Linked DNA regions of Macaca fascicularis. The protein of the gene in region 1 purifies or fractionates together with the protein of each later gene. This does not show direct contact. Links are inferred from orthologs where the notes say so. Each region holds a gene or a part of one and is shown in the gene's direction. Other genes may lie near its edges.

What was found.
Region 2: the proteins of NUP43 (region 1) and NUP133 purify together in Homo sapiens (affinity purification with mass spectrometry; 5 studies listed by BioGRID and IntAct, counting the BioPlex papers as one, with this or other methods). This does not show direct contact. The link is inferred for Macaca fascicularis from reciprocal best matches to the Homo sapiens genes NUP43 and NUP133.

Annotation. Positions count from the first base shown.
Region 1 is NC_088378.1:57,730,363-57,738,419, reverse strand, and holds the start of NUP43 (nucleoporin Nup43), read left to right. Parts: upstream 1-2,542; 5' UTR 2,543-2,576; coding exon 2,577-2,696; intron 2,697-3,012; coding exon 3,013-3,135; intron 3,136-5,355; coding exon 5,356-5,433; intron 5,434-6,486; coding exon 6,487-6,667; intron 6,668-8,057. UniProt on the Homo sapiens protein: Component of the Nup107-160 subcomplex of the nuclear pore complex (NPC). The Nup107-160 subcomplex is required for the assembly of a functional NPC.
Region 2 is NC_088375.1:19,594,943-19,603,046, forward strand, and holds the start of NUP133 (nuclear pore complex protein Nup133), read left to right. Parts: upstream 1-3,482; 5' UTR 3,483-3,592; coding exon 3,593-3,774; intron 3,775-5,656; coding exon 5,657-5,775; intron 5,776-8,104. UniProt on the Homo sapiens protein: Involved in poly(A)+ RNA transport. Involved in nephrogenesis.

The DNA of each region.
Region 1 (8,057 bases):
AGTGCAGTGGCGCGATCTCGGCTCACTGCAAGCTCCGCCTCCCGGGTTCAGCCTCCTGAGTAGCTGAGACTACAGGCGCCCGCCACCACGCCCGGCTAATTTTTTGTATTTTTAGTAGAGACGGGGTTTCACCGTGTTAGCCAGGATGGTCTCGATCTCCTGACCTCGGGATCTGCCCTCGTCCGCCTCCCCAAGTGCTGGGATTACAGGCGTAAGCCATTGCGCCCGGCCTCCAGTAATCTGTTGGAAGGAAACAAGGCTAAGACATCTGTGCTACTATGTCAGCACAATTTTCAAATTCTAGTTCTTACCCGATTTTGTAAAATGTGACACTGGCCTGTTTCCCATCCAAAATCGTCACTACCTATTTTCTGGGATTCTGTGACCATAAATGAAACTACTGACAAAACTGGGTTTTTTGTTTTTGTTTTTGTTTTTTGAGACGGAGTCTCGCTCAGTAGCCCAGGCTGGAATGCAGTGGCACGATCTTGGCTCACTGCAACCTCCGCCTCCCAGGTCCGCGTTCAAGGAATTCTGCCGCAGCCTCCCGGGTAGCTGGAATTACAGGCACGACCACCATGCCCAGCTAATTTTTTTGTATTTTTAGTAGTAGAGTTTCACCATGTTGGCCAGGCTGGTCTTGAACTCCTGACCTCGTGATCTGCCTGCCTCGATCTCCCAAAGTGCTGGAATTACAGGCATGAGCCACCGTGCCCAGCCAAAACAGTGTTCTTTACTTCAATATTAAACATGAATAAATTGTTGATTTGGGACTGTAACCCACTTAATATTTTCCATTTCATCTTTTCTACAGTTTCTTGATGATCTTCCATTTGGTGAAAAGAAAAAAGTCAAATCCTTGATAGGAACCTGATAACTCTAAAGCTGAGCCAGACGGATTGCATTTACATGCAGTGCTTCCCTAAACTGTCCCTGTGAAGTAGGACTACCAATATCACATAAAAACAACAATAGCATAATGGCCCTTTTTAAAGAAACAACCAACATACAGTTATGAATACCTGTAGTATTAAAGAGGTTCATTTTTTAGATAAGTCATACCTCTTGTATTCAGTAGGATTTACATTCTTTTTTTATTCTTTTTTTTTTGAGACGGAGTCTAATTCTGTCGCCCAGGCTAGAGTGCAGTGGCTGGATCTCAGCTCACTGCAAGCTCCGCCTCCCGGGTTCACGCCATTCTCCTGCCTCAGCCTCCCGAGTAGCTGGGACTACAGGCGCCCGCCACCTCGCCCGGCTAGTTTTTTGTATTTTTTTAGTAGAGACGGAGTTTCACCGGGTTAGCCAGGATGGTCTCCATCTCCTGACCTCATGATCCGCCCGTCTCGGCCTCCCAAAATGCTGGGATTACAGGCTTGAGCCACCGCGCCCGGCCGGATTTACATTCTAATTAGGGAGGAATATGCATCTTAAGAAAACTAACGATAGAATATATCCAAAATATATGTAATAGTGGCCTAGATATCAAATGCAAGCTCACGCCTGTAATCCCAGCACTTTGGGAGGACAAGGCAGGCGGATCACCTGAGGTCAGGAGTTCGAGACCAGCCTGGCCAATATGGTAAAATCCCGTCTCTACCAAAAAAAAAAAAAAATAGCCAGGCATGGTGACACGCACCTGTAGTCCCAGCTACCCTGGAAGCTGAGGTGAGAGAATCACTTTAATCTGGGAGGCGGAGGTTGCAGTGAGCTGAGATTGTGCCACTGCACTTCAACCTGGGCCACAGAGTGAGACCCTGTCTTCAAAAAGAAAAAAAGCGATGTTGATTTAGATCAACATTGGCTGGGGGCATCAGGAAATGGTTAAGGAAAGAACAGATCCTTGAAGGATAGGCAGGATTCTGAGGAGTAAAGAGGAAGGGAAGAATATTATAGGTGTAACCAAAAGCACAGAAGGAACCTAGAAAACTGATTCCTGGGCTATTGACAATAGATATCACAAACCTCATTCTTAATCATGCACATAATTAAATTGACCAAAGCTAGGCAATTGGCATCAAAACTAAAACTGGAGTCTTTCAGAATTCTAACTCCAGGCTCTGACAGTGTGTATTAACTTTCAAGCAAAGTATTTGTTTGGGGGACAAGAGGGAGAGGTTTAGGATAGTAGGTTGGCACTGTATTCGAGGTACTTCCATGAGTATTTAAGGATTTTTGAATTGTTTTCTATGCGCAGTGACCTGCAACTGCTTAGGTGTGGTTTCAAGGTGGTTTCTACTGTATTGATTTTGTTCTATTTTTGCTCTTAAATTTTACACTGCACAATTATTGAACACAAGAAAATACTGATATTTTAGATTAGGAGCAAGTCCTACTGCTCAAAGGCCAAAGCGCTCTTGCCTTTGCTCAGAGTCGCTCTAGGAGATGGGCCTCTCGGTCTAGGTTCTCCCAGTTTGTATACTGACCGTGCCCACACTGGCTACCGAAGAGAATTGACTCTCTGCAGCCACCGTCTCCCTCCTAAAGTCCCATCCAATCAGGGTTCCGCGGGAAGAGGCGGGGCTGAGAGGCGCGCGTTGTGCTTGCTTTTTGCAGTGCCTGCTGCGGCTGCTTTCGGCATGGAGGAAATTTATGCGAAGTTTGTGTCTCAGAAAATCAGCAAAACCCGCTGGCGACCGCTGCCTCCCGGAAGTTTGCAAACCGCGGAGACGTTTGCTACCGGATCTTGGGACAATGAGGTATCCCTGCTGATAGGGACGAGCCCCTGCCTCTTCCCTCCCTCCGGTTGAGCTGACCCCTGGCCGCGCGCGCGCCAACTCCCACCTTCTGGTTTTTCTCGCACTTCTAGGTCCCTCGGACCCTGTCTCAGGCGCGGTTGCGCCATAGCTCAGAACCCGTGATGGTGTGCCTGAGCCTCATATCTCGTTACGTTTTAAACTCACCATACTATTTGTCTGAGATGTTTTGGAGCAAGCTTTCTGGACGGAAGCGCAACTTTTATTTTCCGATAGTTGACGTTTATGTCATCTCAAGACAAAACTCTTTGTTTTACAGGAAAATTATGTTTCACTGTGGTCTATTGGAGATTTTGGAAACTTGGACTCTGATGGAGGGTTTGAAGGAGACCATCAATTATTGTGTGATATCAGACACCATGGTGATGTCATGGATTTACAGGTAAATCTGTGTAGCATCCAAAAGCTAACTTTGAAAGTCCTGAGTAATACATTTAAACAAGCAGAGCATCATAAAGGTTGTCTTGTATCACCCCTCATTTACAAAAAACTGAGTGCTCTGTAAGTTATGATTTGGCCGACATCATTTAGCCATTTAGTGGCAGAAAAAGGACTGGGAAAGGGGATGTAGATTTAATCATACTTTTTTATTTATTGACCGTCGACTATGTGCTAAGTACCGTTTGGGGAGCTTTACAAAAATTAATTATTATTGGTTGCCGGTATATCAAGTATTGTTACTTTGTTTTACTAATGAGAAAATTGAGACTAACATATCTTAAGCATGTACTATGTGACAGATACTGTGCAGGGGGATTAACATCATTTTGTTTTTTGAATTCTCATGACAACTCCCTAAGCAGAGATTAGTGCTCCCGTTTTAAAGATTTACCACGATTTAGTGAACTTAACTTGGCCAAAGTCTCAAAACCAGTAGTGAGTGGTGGGGATGAAATTGAGCTTTCTTTTTTTCTTTTTTTTTTTTTTTGAGGTGAAGTCTCACTCTGTCTCCCCGGCTGGAGTACAGTGGCATGATCTCGGCTCACTACAGCCTCCACTTCCCGGATTCAAGCGATTCTCCTGCCTCAGCCTCCCAGGTAGCTGGGACTACAGGCACAGGCCACCACACCCGGCTAATTGTTTGTATTTTTAGTAGAGACGGGGTTTCACCATATTAACCAGGATGGTCTTGAACTCCTGATCTCGGCCTCCCAAAGTGCTGGGATTGCAGGAGTGAGCCACTGTGCCTGGCCGAAATTAAGTTTTCAAATCCTGGTGTGGAGAGCCCCTGCATTTTATTCTATAGAAAGCTACCTAGCCCTGGTGTACGCCTGTAATCCTAGCTACTCGGGAAGCTGAGGCAGGAGAATTGCTTGAACCTGGGCGCAGAGGTTACAGTAAGCTGAGTGCACGCCAGTCTGGGCAACAAGAGCGAAACACTGTCCCAAAAAAAAAAAAGAAAGAAAAAGAGACAGAGAGAAGAAAGAGAAGAAAGCTATCTAGCCCTAGGAAAGATCTTTTTTTTTTTTTTTTTTTGAGACGGAGTCTCACACTGTCACCTGAGCTGGAGTGCAGTGGCACGATCTCAGCTCACTGCAACCTCTGCCTCCTGGGTTCATGCAGTTCTTCTGCCTCAGCGTTGAGTAACTGGGACAACAGGCATATGCCTCCATGCCTGGCTAATTTTTGTGTTTTTAGTAGAGATGGGGTTTCACTATGTTGGCCAGGCTGGTCTTGAACTCCTGACCTCGTGGTTCACCCGGCTTGGCCTCCTGAAGTGCTAGGATTACAGGCGTGAGCCACCATGCCAGGACAATATTTTTCCTTTCTTTTTTTCTTTTTTTTTTTTTTTGAGATGGAGTCTTGCTCTGTCGCCCAAGCTGGAGTGGTGCAGTGGCACTATCTCGGCTCACTGCAACCCTGCCTTCTGGGTTCAAGCGATTCTTCTGCCTCAGCCTGCTGAGTAGCTGGGAGTACAGGCACCTGCCACCACGCCCAGCTAATTTTTGTGTTTTTAGTAGAGACGGGGTTTCAACATATTGGCCAGGCTGGTCTCAAACTCCTGGCCTCGTGATCTGCCTGCTTCAGCCTCCCAAAGTGCTGGGATTACAGGCATGAGCCACCGCGCCTGGCTTTTCTTTTTAAAAATTTTTATTCTGTTTTTGAAACTGAGTCTTGCTCTGTCAACCAGGCCGGAATGCAGGGGCTCGATCTTGGCTCGCTGCAAGCTCCGCTTCCCCACAACCCCGACTCATTTTTGTATTTTCGTAGAGACGAGGTCTCGCCACATTGCCCAGGGTGGTCTTGAACTCCTGAACTCAAGCGATCTGTCCGCCTAGGCCTCTCAAAGTGCTGGGATTACAGGCGTGAGCCACCGCACCCAGCCAGGAATGGTATTTTTCTAACGTTTTATTGTGTTGGTCTCAAATTAAATCAATGGCGGGTAAATGTGTCTAGGAAAAAAATACTGTTTATTCATGAAAATGCTTTGTATGGCAGTTTGGACTTTCAGCTCCATTAACACATGTTATTTGCTTAGCACTCATAGGCTCTTTGCTTTTTAAAATTGTTATCATTTGCTACTAATTGAGTTAAATAAATGAATAGATTTCCTCCCTGCTAGTATTTCTGAGTCTTTAACAAGCAGAAATTTTCTCTTTAGTTTTTTGACCAGGAAAGAATTGTCACTGCTTCATCAACAGGATGTGTAACAGTTTTCCTTCACCATCCGAATAACCAGGTAAAGAACTTCAGTTTGAAAAGTGATTTTTTTTTTTTTTTGGAGATGGAGTTCTGCTCTTTTTGCCCAGGCACTGGAGTGCAATGGCACAATCTCGGCTCATCACAAGCTCCGCCTTCCAGCTTCAAGTGATTCTCCTGCCTCAGCCTCCCAAGTAGCTGGGATTACAGGCATGTGACACCATGCCCGGCTAATTTTATATTTTTCGTAGAGACGGGGTTTCTCCATGTTGGTCAGGCTGATCTCGAACTCCTGACCTCAGGTGATCAGCCCTCTTCACCCTCCCAAAGTGCTGGGATTATAGGCATAAGCCACTGCTCCCGGCCAAAGGTAACGTTTCTAATAGACATGCCTAGTAAATATAAGACCCAGTTCGTGTTAAAGGTTTTTTGAGTCATTTAGAAAAAGCTACAGAGATTAATATTTTTTTAATTAATTAATTTATTTATTTTGAGACAGAGTCTCTCTCTGTCGCCCAGGCTGGAGTGCAGTGGCACGATCTCTGCTCACTGCAGCCTGCACCTCCCTGGTTCAAGCAATTCTCCCACCTTAGCTTCCCAAGTAGCTGGGATTACAGGTGTGTGCCACCATACCTGGCTAATTTTTGTATTTTTAGTAGAGATGGGATTTCACCATATTGACCAGGCTGGTCTCGAACTCCTGACCTCAGATGATCTGCCTGCCTTGGCCTCCCAAAGTGCTAGGATTACAGGCATGAGCCACAGCCATGGGCCAGAGATTTATATTTTAGATGTAGGTTAATTTCCATAAGAATACAAAGAGTTGCTTTTGAACATCCAACTGCTTGATCCCTAAAAGTCATTACTGTAGTTTGAGATAAATGTGGGGCATTATTAAACAGTATTTCTTTTGAATCTAATTCTATGTATACAGAACTTTGATGCAAGTAGTTTCTAGATTTCATTATTCTAAAGGAAAAAAGATTTATTCTTGTAGAAGGATGTGAGTCAGAATTTAAAGATACTCTTGTTGGTAAGAAGTGCTAGTTCCTTAGTACTTTTCTTTAATAGTATCCTCATTTCTGATGCCTAGACTCTGTCAGTCAACCAGCAGTGGACTACAGCTCACTACCACGCAGGCCCTGGCAGTCCTTCCTATAGCAGTGCACCATGTACAGGTGTTGTGTGCAATAACCCAGAAATCGTTACAGTTGGAGAGGATGGTCGAATAAATCTCTTCAGAGCTGATCACAAGGAAGCTGTAAGAACCATAGGTAAGAAAAATCCCAGCCTGGCCAACATGGCAAAACCTTGTCTCTATTAAAAATACAAAAGTTAGGCTGGGTGTGGTGGCTCACCCTGGCAATCGCAGCACTTTGGGAGGCGGATCACCTGAGGTTGGGAGTCCAAGACCAGCCTGACCAACATGGAGAAACACTCTCTCTATTAAAAATACAAAATTAGCCGGGAATGGTGGCACATGCCTGTAATCCCAGCTACTTGGGAGGCTGAGGCAGGAGAATCACTTGAACCCGGGAGGCAGAGGTTGCAGTGAGCAGATTGTGACATTGCACTCCAGCCTGGGCAATAAGAGTGAAACTCTGTCTCAAAAAAAAAAAAAAAGAAAAGAAAAGTGAGCCAGGCATGGTGGCGCATGCTTGTAATCCCAGCTACTCAGGAGGCTGAGGCGGGAGAATCACTTGAACCTGAGAGGCGGAGGTTGCGGTGAGCTGTGATGGCACTCTACTCCCACCTGGGTGACAGAGGGAGACTCCATCTCAAAAAAAGAAAAATCATTGTATTCCTTTCATTCATCACAGAGTAATTGAGTGCTTACCATATACTAAGTAAACACTGCCAGGCATGATGGCTCATGCCTGTTACCCCAGCACTTTGGGAGGCCAAGGCAGGCGGATCACAAGGTCGAGAGATTGTGATCATCCTGGCCAACATCGTGAAAGTCTGTCTCTACTAAACATAACAAAAATTAGCTGGGTGTGGTGGCATGCGCCTGTAGTCCCAGCTACTCAGGAGGCTGAGGCAGAAGAAGCGCTTGAACCTGGGAGGTAGAGGTTGCAGTGAGCCAAGATTACACCACTGCACGCTAGCCTGGCGACGAAGCAAGACTCCATCTCAAAAATAAAAGTAAACACAATGAGCCGGGCGCGGTGGCTCACGCCTGTAATCACAATACTTTGGGAGGCCGAGGCGGGCGGATCACAAGATCAGGAGATTGAGACTATCCTGGCTAACATGATGAAACCCCGTCTCTACTAAAAATACAAAAAATTAGCCTGGCATAGTGTCGACAGTTGTCTGTAGTCCCAGCTACTCTGGAGGCTGAGGCAGGAGAATGGCATGAACCTAGGAGGCAGAGCTTGCAGTGAATCGAGATCGCACCACTGCACTCCAGCCTGGGCGACAGAGCGAGACCCCGTCTCAAAAAAAAAAGTAAACACAATGTTAAGTGATTGAGGGATATAAAAATATATGGCTGGTAGCAGTGGCTCATGCCTATAATCCCAGCACATTAGGAAACCAAGGCAAGCAGATCATTTGAGGCCAAGAGTTTGAGACCAGCCTGGCCAACATGGCAAAACCCTGTCTCTACTGAAAGTACAAACATTAGCTGGGCATGGTGGCACACGCCTGTAATCCCAGCTG
Region 2 (8,104 bases), on another chromosome or scaffold:
ACAGAGTCTCTCTCTGTTGCTCAGGCGTGAGTACAGCGGCATAGTATCAGCTTACTGCAACCCCCACCTCCAAGGTTTAAGTGATTCTCCTGCCTCAGCCACCCAAATAGCTGGGACTACAGATGCGCACCACCACGCCTAGCTAATTTTTGTATTTTTAGTAGAGACGGGATTTCACCAGGTTGGCCAGGCTGGTCTCGAACTCCTGACCTCAGGTGATCTGCCCACATTGGCCTCCCAAAGTGCTGGGATTACAGGTGTAAGCCACCGCCCTCAGGCTCTAACATTCCTTTATTAAATTCTTTTAACTACCTAGCTTGAGGGTACCATCTGTTTTCTCTAGGATTTTTTCTTTTCTGTTTTTTGAGACAGAGTTTTGCTCTGTTGCCCAGGTTGGAGTGCAGTGGCGCCATCACGGCTCACTGCAACCTCCACCTTCCTGGCTCAAGCAATTCCCCAGCCTCAGCCTCCCAAGTAGCTAGGATTACAGGTGCACACCACCATGCCCAGCTAATTTTTTGGTATTTTTAGTAGAGACGGGATTTCATCATGTTGGCCAGACTGGTCTTGAACTCCTGACCTCAGGCAATCCACCTGCCTGGGCCTCCCAAAGTGCTGGAATTACAGGCGTGAGCCACCACGCCCGGCGTTCTCTAGGATCTTATTTGACAGAGCCTAAAGGCCCTTCATAGTCTCTCCTTATTTCTCCAATTTCCTTTACTTTTAGTCTTTCAGGTTGATTTGTCTGTTTAAAGTCCCTGGTTCTAATCCCAGCTACTCAGGAGGCTGAGGCTGGAGGATCACTTAAAGCCACAGGAGTTTGAGACCAGCCTGGGAAATATAGCAAGACCCCATTTTTTAAATTGTATTTTTTTAGAATTTAAAATAAAATTTCTTGGGGAGACAGGGTCTCACTATGTTGCCCAGGGGCTGGTCTTGAACTACCGGCCTCAAGCCATCCTCCCACACCTTAGCCTTGCAAGGTTCTGCGATTACAGACGTGAGCCATTGTGCCTGGCGGTGAGACCCCATTTCTAAAAATGTATATATAAATAAAAAATAGGCAGGCGTGGTGGTACATGCCCATGGTCCCAACTCTGAGGCTGAGGCAGGAGGATCACTGATGCCCAGGTCAAGGATGTGGTGAGCTTTGATCACGCCACTGCACTCCAGCCTGGGCAACAGAGTAAGACCCAATCGCTAGAAAAATAATAAAGTAAAATAAAAATAAATAAAGTCCCTAGAATGCACCAAGTCCTTTGCTGCTTCAGGACCTTTGGCCAAGGATCCTCTGCCTGAAATATTCTTCCTCGCATTCTCTTATGCTTCATGTCTCAGGTTAAATGTCCTTTTCTCCCAGAGGCCTTTATAGACCTCCATCCAAAAATAGGTAGCCCCAGTGATTCTCTCTCATACACTTTGCTGTTTTATTTCATAGTACACATCTCAGCTTGTAGCTGGATATTTGTGTTCATTTTTTCAGTGTCTTTCTCGTTGGTCTGTAATCTCCATGAGGGTGGGACCCGTTGGGCTTTGTTTAGTTATAAACCTTAGCACTTATCACATAGCCTGACAAATAGTAGGTACTCACTAAATCCATAACGAATGGATGACTTTTAGTGCTGTCTGCTCACTATCCTTCAAGTCATACATTTGGACTCCAGGAAAGTTCTTGCTCAAAGGTGCCGGCAAGTCATTCTAACTCCTGCAAACAACAGCTTTTACAATAGGATGGTGGGGGAACCACTAACCAGTCCAACAAGGCACAAGAATACAATTGATCCCACCAATCCTCTCAGACACAACTATTAATACTCTTTATTGCCTATTTCACACCCCTCCTTGTAAGAATGAAACAGGAGGGAAATGCACTGGGCTCTCAGAGCCCTAAGACTCAACAAGCTGCCAAGTTGGATTAGACACCCAGGTTGGAGAAGGAGTAAAGCAGCTAGCCTATGGAACCTTGGCAAGATAACTGCTCAGATGCCACTGACATGCATAGATCGATGACTGGCTTCCCAGGGGAATGTCAACAACTGACACCCACACTGTGGTCTCCCACATGTGGATACATCAGTGTTTACTTAACCATTCCCTTATTTCAACACGTGTTGAATGAAAGTCTACTATATGTCTGTTACTGTGTGCCACAAAGGTAACAAAGTCACTGCTCCTGCTGCTTTTAAAAGACATTTACAAGGAGGTACTTGAGAGACAGTTATGAAAACAAACTATTATGCAGGATAAAAATACAGTCTACACAAAGGAGCAGAGAGGACAAAAAGGATAAGGGGTATCTAATCCTGTGGAAGGTTTCACTGAGAAGGCAGCACAGAACTGACTTGATGCGTAAGGTAGGCGCCTTCCGGACCAACAAGGCACAGAGTGCATTCCAGGTGAAACATGTATATGCGCAATGGAGGGGGATTTGGGTTTTTAAGTTCTTGGAATGTGGAGTACAAGTGGGAAGTGGTGGAAGTACAACACGGACAGAAAAGCCAACCTGACTTAGATCACATAAGACCTTGCAAAGGAGCTTAGCAAATAACTACTGGCAATGGTCAGCCACTGAAGCATTTACAGGCCCAAGAGCAGCATTAGGTTTGCCTTAATTCATTGGGTTGGCACTGAGAAGATAGAGTGGAGTCAGACTAGACACAGGTAAGGAACCATCTCCCCGTCTCTCGTCTCTCCCACTCCCTCCCGCTGGCAGTAAAGAGGCTACGCAGTGGTTGAAGAAAAGTACCAGAACCAGGGCAGAGGCGGTGCAAATGTGTGATCTAACACAGATACGTAGGAGCTACAACGTATACCAGGATCTTAGGGTGGAGGTAAGTGTGAGGGATGACTGCAGATAGAACTCCTCTCTTTGCCTTGGACAACTGGCCAGTCTTACCAAGCTGGGACAGAGATGGTGGTAGAAGAGGGGTCCTAAAAGGAAAACATGAATGTGCTTTTCATAAGCGGATTGTGAGGAGTCCGCAAGACTTACAGGTGAATGTGTCCCCTAGGGAGCTGATTTGATAGGGGTCTGGGGGTTTTGAGCTGGATCCAGGTTAGAGACACGGATTTATGGCGTCATTAGCGTGGAAGAAACTGTGCAAAGTTGAATGGGAAAATGGCAAACCTAGAAAACAGCAAATATCACAGTGCGATACCAGTGTCAGCTTTACAAAAGGCTTTTCTCCGTCCTCAGCTTGGACTGAGGAACATCTTTCATTTCACAAGAGTCTCAGGAACTACCAGTGTGAAAAGAGGCTGCGTTCAAGTTGCTGGAGGGCCAGTTCCAACCAGGCGCAGTCAAGAAGGAGGCCCGGCTTTGCGGCTTCACGTCCCTGGAAGCTCTGCACTCCAACGGTTCTGGATCTGCGGCCACGGGCCGCCTTCCCGACCTCCCCCGCGGGCTGGGCGCCGCCCTTAACGTCACGATCACGCCCCCGCCAGCGCTCCTACCGCAACTCGCGAGAGCCACTGCGTTTGACGTCATCATCGCGCGCCATCCCTCCCCTTAGGTGTTTAATCTCCGCGCGCAGGCCGCGCTGAAACCCGACGGCCAGATACCTCGCCGTCCAAGTCTCTGCTCCTTCGAATCATGTTCCCAGCCGCCCCTTCTCCGCGGACCCCGGGTCCCGGGTCCCGAAGGGGCCCCCTGGCCGGACTCGGGCCCGGCTCCACGCCCCGGACGGCCAGCAGGAAGGGTCTGCCCCTGGGGTCTGCAGTCAGCTCTCCAGTGCTCTTCTCACCGGTGGGCCGGCGTAGCTCACTAAGTTCGCGGTAAGTGATCTCCTTGGTTGGGTCTGGCAACCAGCAGGCTCACGGGCCGCAGTGGGCCGGATCGGTTAGTGTCTTCAGAAGCCTTCGGAACCGGGGGCGGCGGAAGAGAATGCCAGAGTATTGGAAAATAGACGTTTTCCGCTCTTGCAGGTCATACCTGCTTCACTTTTTGAGTTGATTCCCCACTTTGCATTTTTCGTGGATACCTTTGTGCAGAAGTGAAGTACAAACCGGATTCGCATCAATGGTTACCCACTTCCCACCTACTACCGCTGTGATCGGGCGTAAGTCACTCGTGATTTTCTTCATCTGTGAAATGGCGATAATATGTGTCACCTGAGCCAGAGGAGTTAGTATGAATTGCCACGATGCAGATGTAAGGTGATGGTGATAATGAGGACCTGCAACCCTGAAATATAATTGTTTAATGCCTAATATACCAACTGACATTAATATCTGATGATTGGTAATTGAAGGGTTTCTAGCTACGGAATTTAACTTTCTAGGTAAATTATAGGGAAAAGGCTTTACATAAGTGAGATAAGAGTACTGTGGTAATTTAGTTACTAAAACTGCTGGTTTGGAGCACCAGTAAAATCACACACACCCTTCCCCCCCGCCCCCCAACACACACCATGTTCACAATTAACCTAAAACTTTAGAAGATAACGTGTTTCTGCATAGTTTTCTCTGAATTCATCTATAATAAATGAATTTTTCCCTGCAGGAAAACACCGAGTATTGTGTCTTGAAATTATGGTTAAAATTTATCTGTAAAATTTTGCAGTACTATAAAGGATAAGTGGTTTTTAAAGAATGCACCGTATCTTTGTGACTTTTTTTGGGCATATTTTGAAAAGTACAAAGTGCAGATCTTGGCATTGTTTTCTATTCCTTTAACGAAAAGTTGGAGAATAAAAGCGTACTTTATTTACTATGTATGTTGTTTTATTTAAATCTCTTCTTTCTGATGATCATTTGAATAAAAACCTTTGTTATCCTCTGTCAAGAAACAAAGCCCTCAGCCATTCTGTATGTGCATCTCCTCATTTAATTCTCATAAGACATAGAATAACTTATTCTGGTGGCTTTACAGTATTCTAAATGTTAAGAAGAGTGTGAGCAGGAAATAGTTTTTACTCTGATATCTGCTGTTGAAGACCATGTAACAGCTGATGCTCGTAACCTGTTTGATTTCTTGCTTGGTTGTACAGATCTGATAGATTTTTCTTTTAAGAGACAGGGTCTCACTCTCTGTCGCCCAGGCTACAAGCTGGTGCCACAATGCCTGGCTAATGTAAAATTTTTTTTGTAGAGACAAGGTCTTGCCATGTTGCCCAGGCTGGTCTTGAACTCTTGGTCTCAAGTAGTCTTCCCACTTCAGCCACCCAAAGTGCTGAGATTATAGGCATGAGCCACTGCCCCAGCCAGATCTGGTAGATTCTTAAAACCCTAAAGCCAAATGAGAACTTAAATCTCATCTAAGCCAATATTTGTAAAATATATTTGACCACAACATATGGTAAAAGCTGATGTTTTATATTCTGTCTTTCAAAAATATTGATTGAGATCTGCAAAACGACCCACTGTTTGAAAAAAACACTGGTCTAGTTAAGCCTTATTTCACAGCTAAAGAGGCAGAATTATAAGGAGTTTAGGTGAATACAGGCATGCATTTTATTACTAGAGCATATGGAATTGAAGCCAAGTTTTCCTAAATCCTGTCTTTTTACATGAAAAATATTACATTTAATTACATGATAAATATGAGCCAGTGTTAATTTTTTTCAGAGAACTCCTTATTGTGAAAATATATACATAAATAATTAGGATAATGGAAAATTTTAAGTTATAAGTAAGGTAATTAGACTTTTTTCTTTAGAGGAACACCAACACGAATGTTCCCACACCACTCCATAACTGAGTCTGTGAACTATGATGTGAAAACGTTTGGATCTTCTCTTCCTGTTAAAGTCATGGAAGCGCTAACATTGGCTGAAGGTAGGTGTCATCTTTCCGTTTACCTATATTAGCAATTTAGGATGGAGCCTAGATGCGGCATAGAGATTAAATTTATGTTTTCTCACGTATACCTTTATGTAAATGGAGAGAGATGGGTAGCCTTTCTAGTTTTCTTTTTTTTTTTTTGAGGCAGAGTCTCACTCTGTCACCCAGGCTAGAGTCCAGTGGCACGATCTCAGCTCACTGCAACCACCGCCTCCCAGGTTCAAGCGAGTTTCCTGCCTCAGCCTCCCAAGTGGCTGGGATTATAGGTGTGAGCCACCATGCCGGGCTAATTTTTTCTATTTTTAGTAGAGACGGGGTTTCACCATGTTGACCAGGCTGTTCTGGAGCTCCTGACCTCCGATAATCTGCCCACCGTGGCCTCCCAGAGTGCTGGGATTACAGGCATGAGCCACCACACCCAGCCACCTGTCTAGTTTTTTATTTTAATTTACTTTTTTTTTTTTTTTTGAGACGGAGTCTCGCTCTGTTGCCCAGGCTGGAGTGCAGTGGCGTGATCTCGGCTCACTGCAAGCTCGTCCTCCTGGGTTCACGCCATTCTCCTGCCTCAGCCTCCCGAGTCATTGGGACTACAGGTACCCGCCACCTTGCCTGACTAATATTTTGTATTTTTAGTAGAGGCTGGGTTTCAGTGTGTTAGGATGATCTTGATCTCCTGACCTCGTGATCTGCCCGCCTCAGCCCCCCAAAGTGCTGGGATTACAGGCGTAAGCCACCGTGCCCAGCCCTAGTTTTTTACTATAATTGAGATATATAATAAATTTGAGAAGGAGAATGAGTTCATTTGAACACAATCAAATTAAGTCTAATGGTTTTAGGTACTGTACACTAGTCCCCCATTATCTTTGAGGGATATTTTCCAAGATTCTCCGGTGGATGCCTGAAACCTTGTATAGTACCAAACCCTATATATACTGTGTTTTTTCATGCGTACACTCCTATGATAAAGTTTAGTTTATAAATTAGGCACAGTTAAGAGATGAATAGCAATAACTAATAAAGTGGAACAATTATAACAATATACCAGCACTACTCTTGTATTTTGGGGTCATTAAATAAGAATACGAGCATTGCATTACTGCAACAGTTGATCTGGTAACTGAGACAGCTACTAAGTGACAAACAGCTGGATAGTCTTAGGGGTGTCCAATCTTTTGGCTTCCCTGGGCCACACGTAAAATACACTTACCCTAACAAGAGCTGATGAGCTATAAATAAATAAATAAATAGATCTGTGTGTAAATCTCATAATGTTTTAAAAAGTTTACAAACTTGTGTTGGACTGCATTCAAAGCTGTCCTGGGCCACACGTGTCCCTGGGCCGTGGGTTGGACAAGCTTGGTGTATACAGTATGGAAATGCTGCACGAAGGGTTGATTCACAACCTTTAGACAGGACAGTATGAGATTTTTATCACTTTACCCAGAACAACATGCAATTTACAACTTAGGAATTGTTCATTTGAATTTTCCATTTAATATTTTCAGACTGCAATTGACCACAGGTATTTTATTTGAAACTGCAGATAAAAGGGGGAAATACTGTATATGCAAAATTCAGTCTTGTTTGAAGAGTTGATCAAGTTTATGAAGTTTACCATTAAAAAAAAAAAAAACCCAAAACTGGCACTTTATGTTATTGGGTTTAATAATATAGTAAAATCAAGTCCTACCTCTATTTCTGGATCCTATGTAGCATCCCAGAGGCTGTGTGCACAAATTTATGATGTTACCATTGTGGTGGTGTACCTTTAGAAGAGTCTGTTGGCAGAGAATTAGTGTGGAATTTTGACAGATACAATCAACACAAGCTTAGGCAACTTTAAAGATGAACAGTTGGATGACACTGAAAGAGCAAAGTTCAGAGCATCCTTAATATCTGCTGAAGTCATTTTTATTGAGGATTGAATTCTAGATCTTTGTGATTTTTCTGGAACAGTGTTTTTCAAATTGTAGGAGTGACCAAAATTTAGCGGTTCTTGACCAGCATTTAAAAAAAGAAGAAATAGAATGCATCTCATATAATGTTTAGTAAATTTTTGTTTGTTTTACTTAAATTGTATATGGGTGTATCATGATGTAAAATGTATTACACTGTGAATAACTCTATTTACTGTATATATTACTGTTAACAGTAAAAAAAAAAAAGCTGAAAGTACTCTGTTTTAGAAGAAGGAATATATCTCATCAGCTGGAACTTGCACATCTTGCCTATAGGTCCTTGGGAGCTTTAGGGATAGTTGTTTTCAGACAACTAAACTACCAACCTCTATATACATTGTTCTGTTTTAAATAAATATACATAT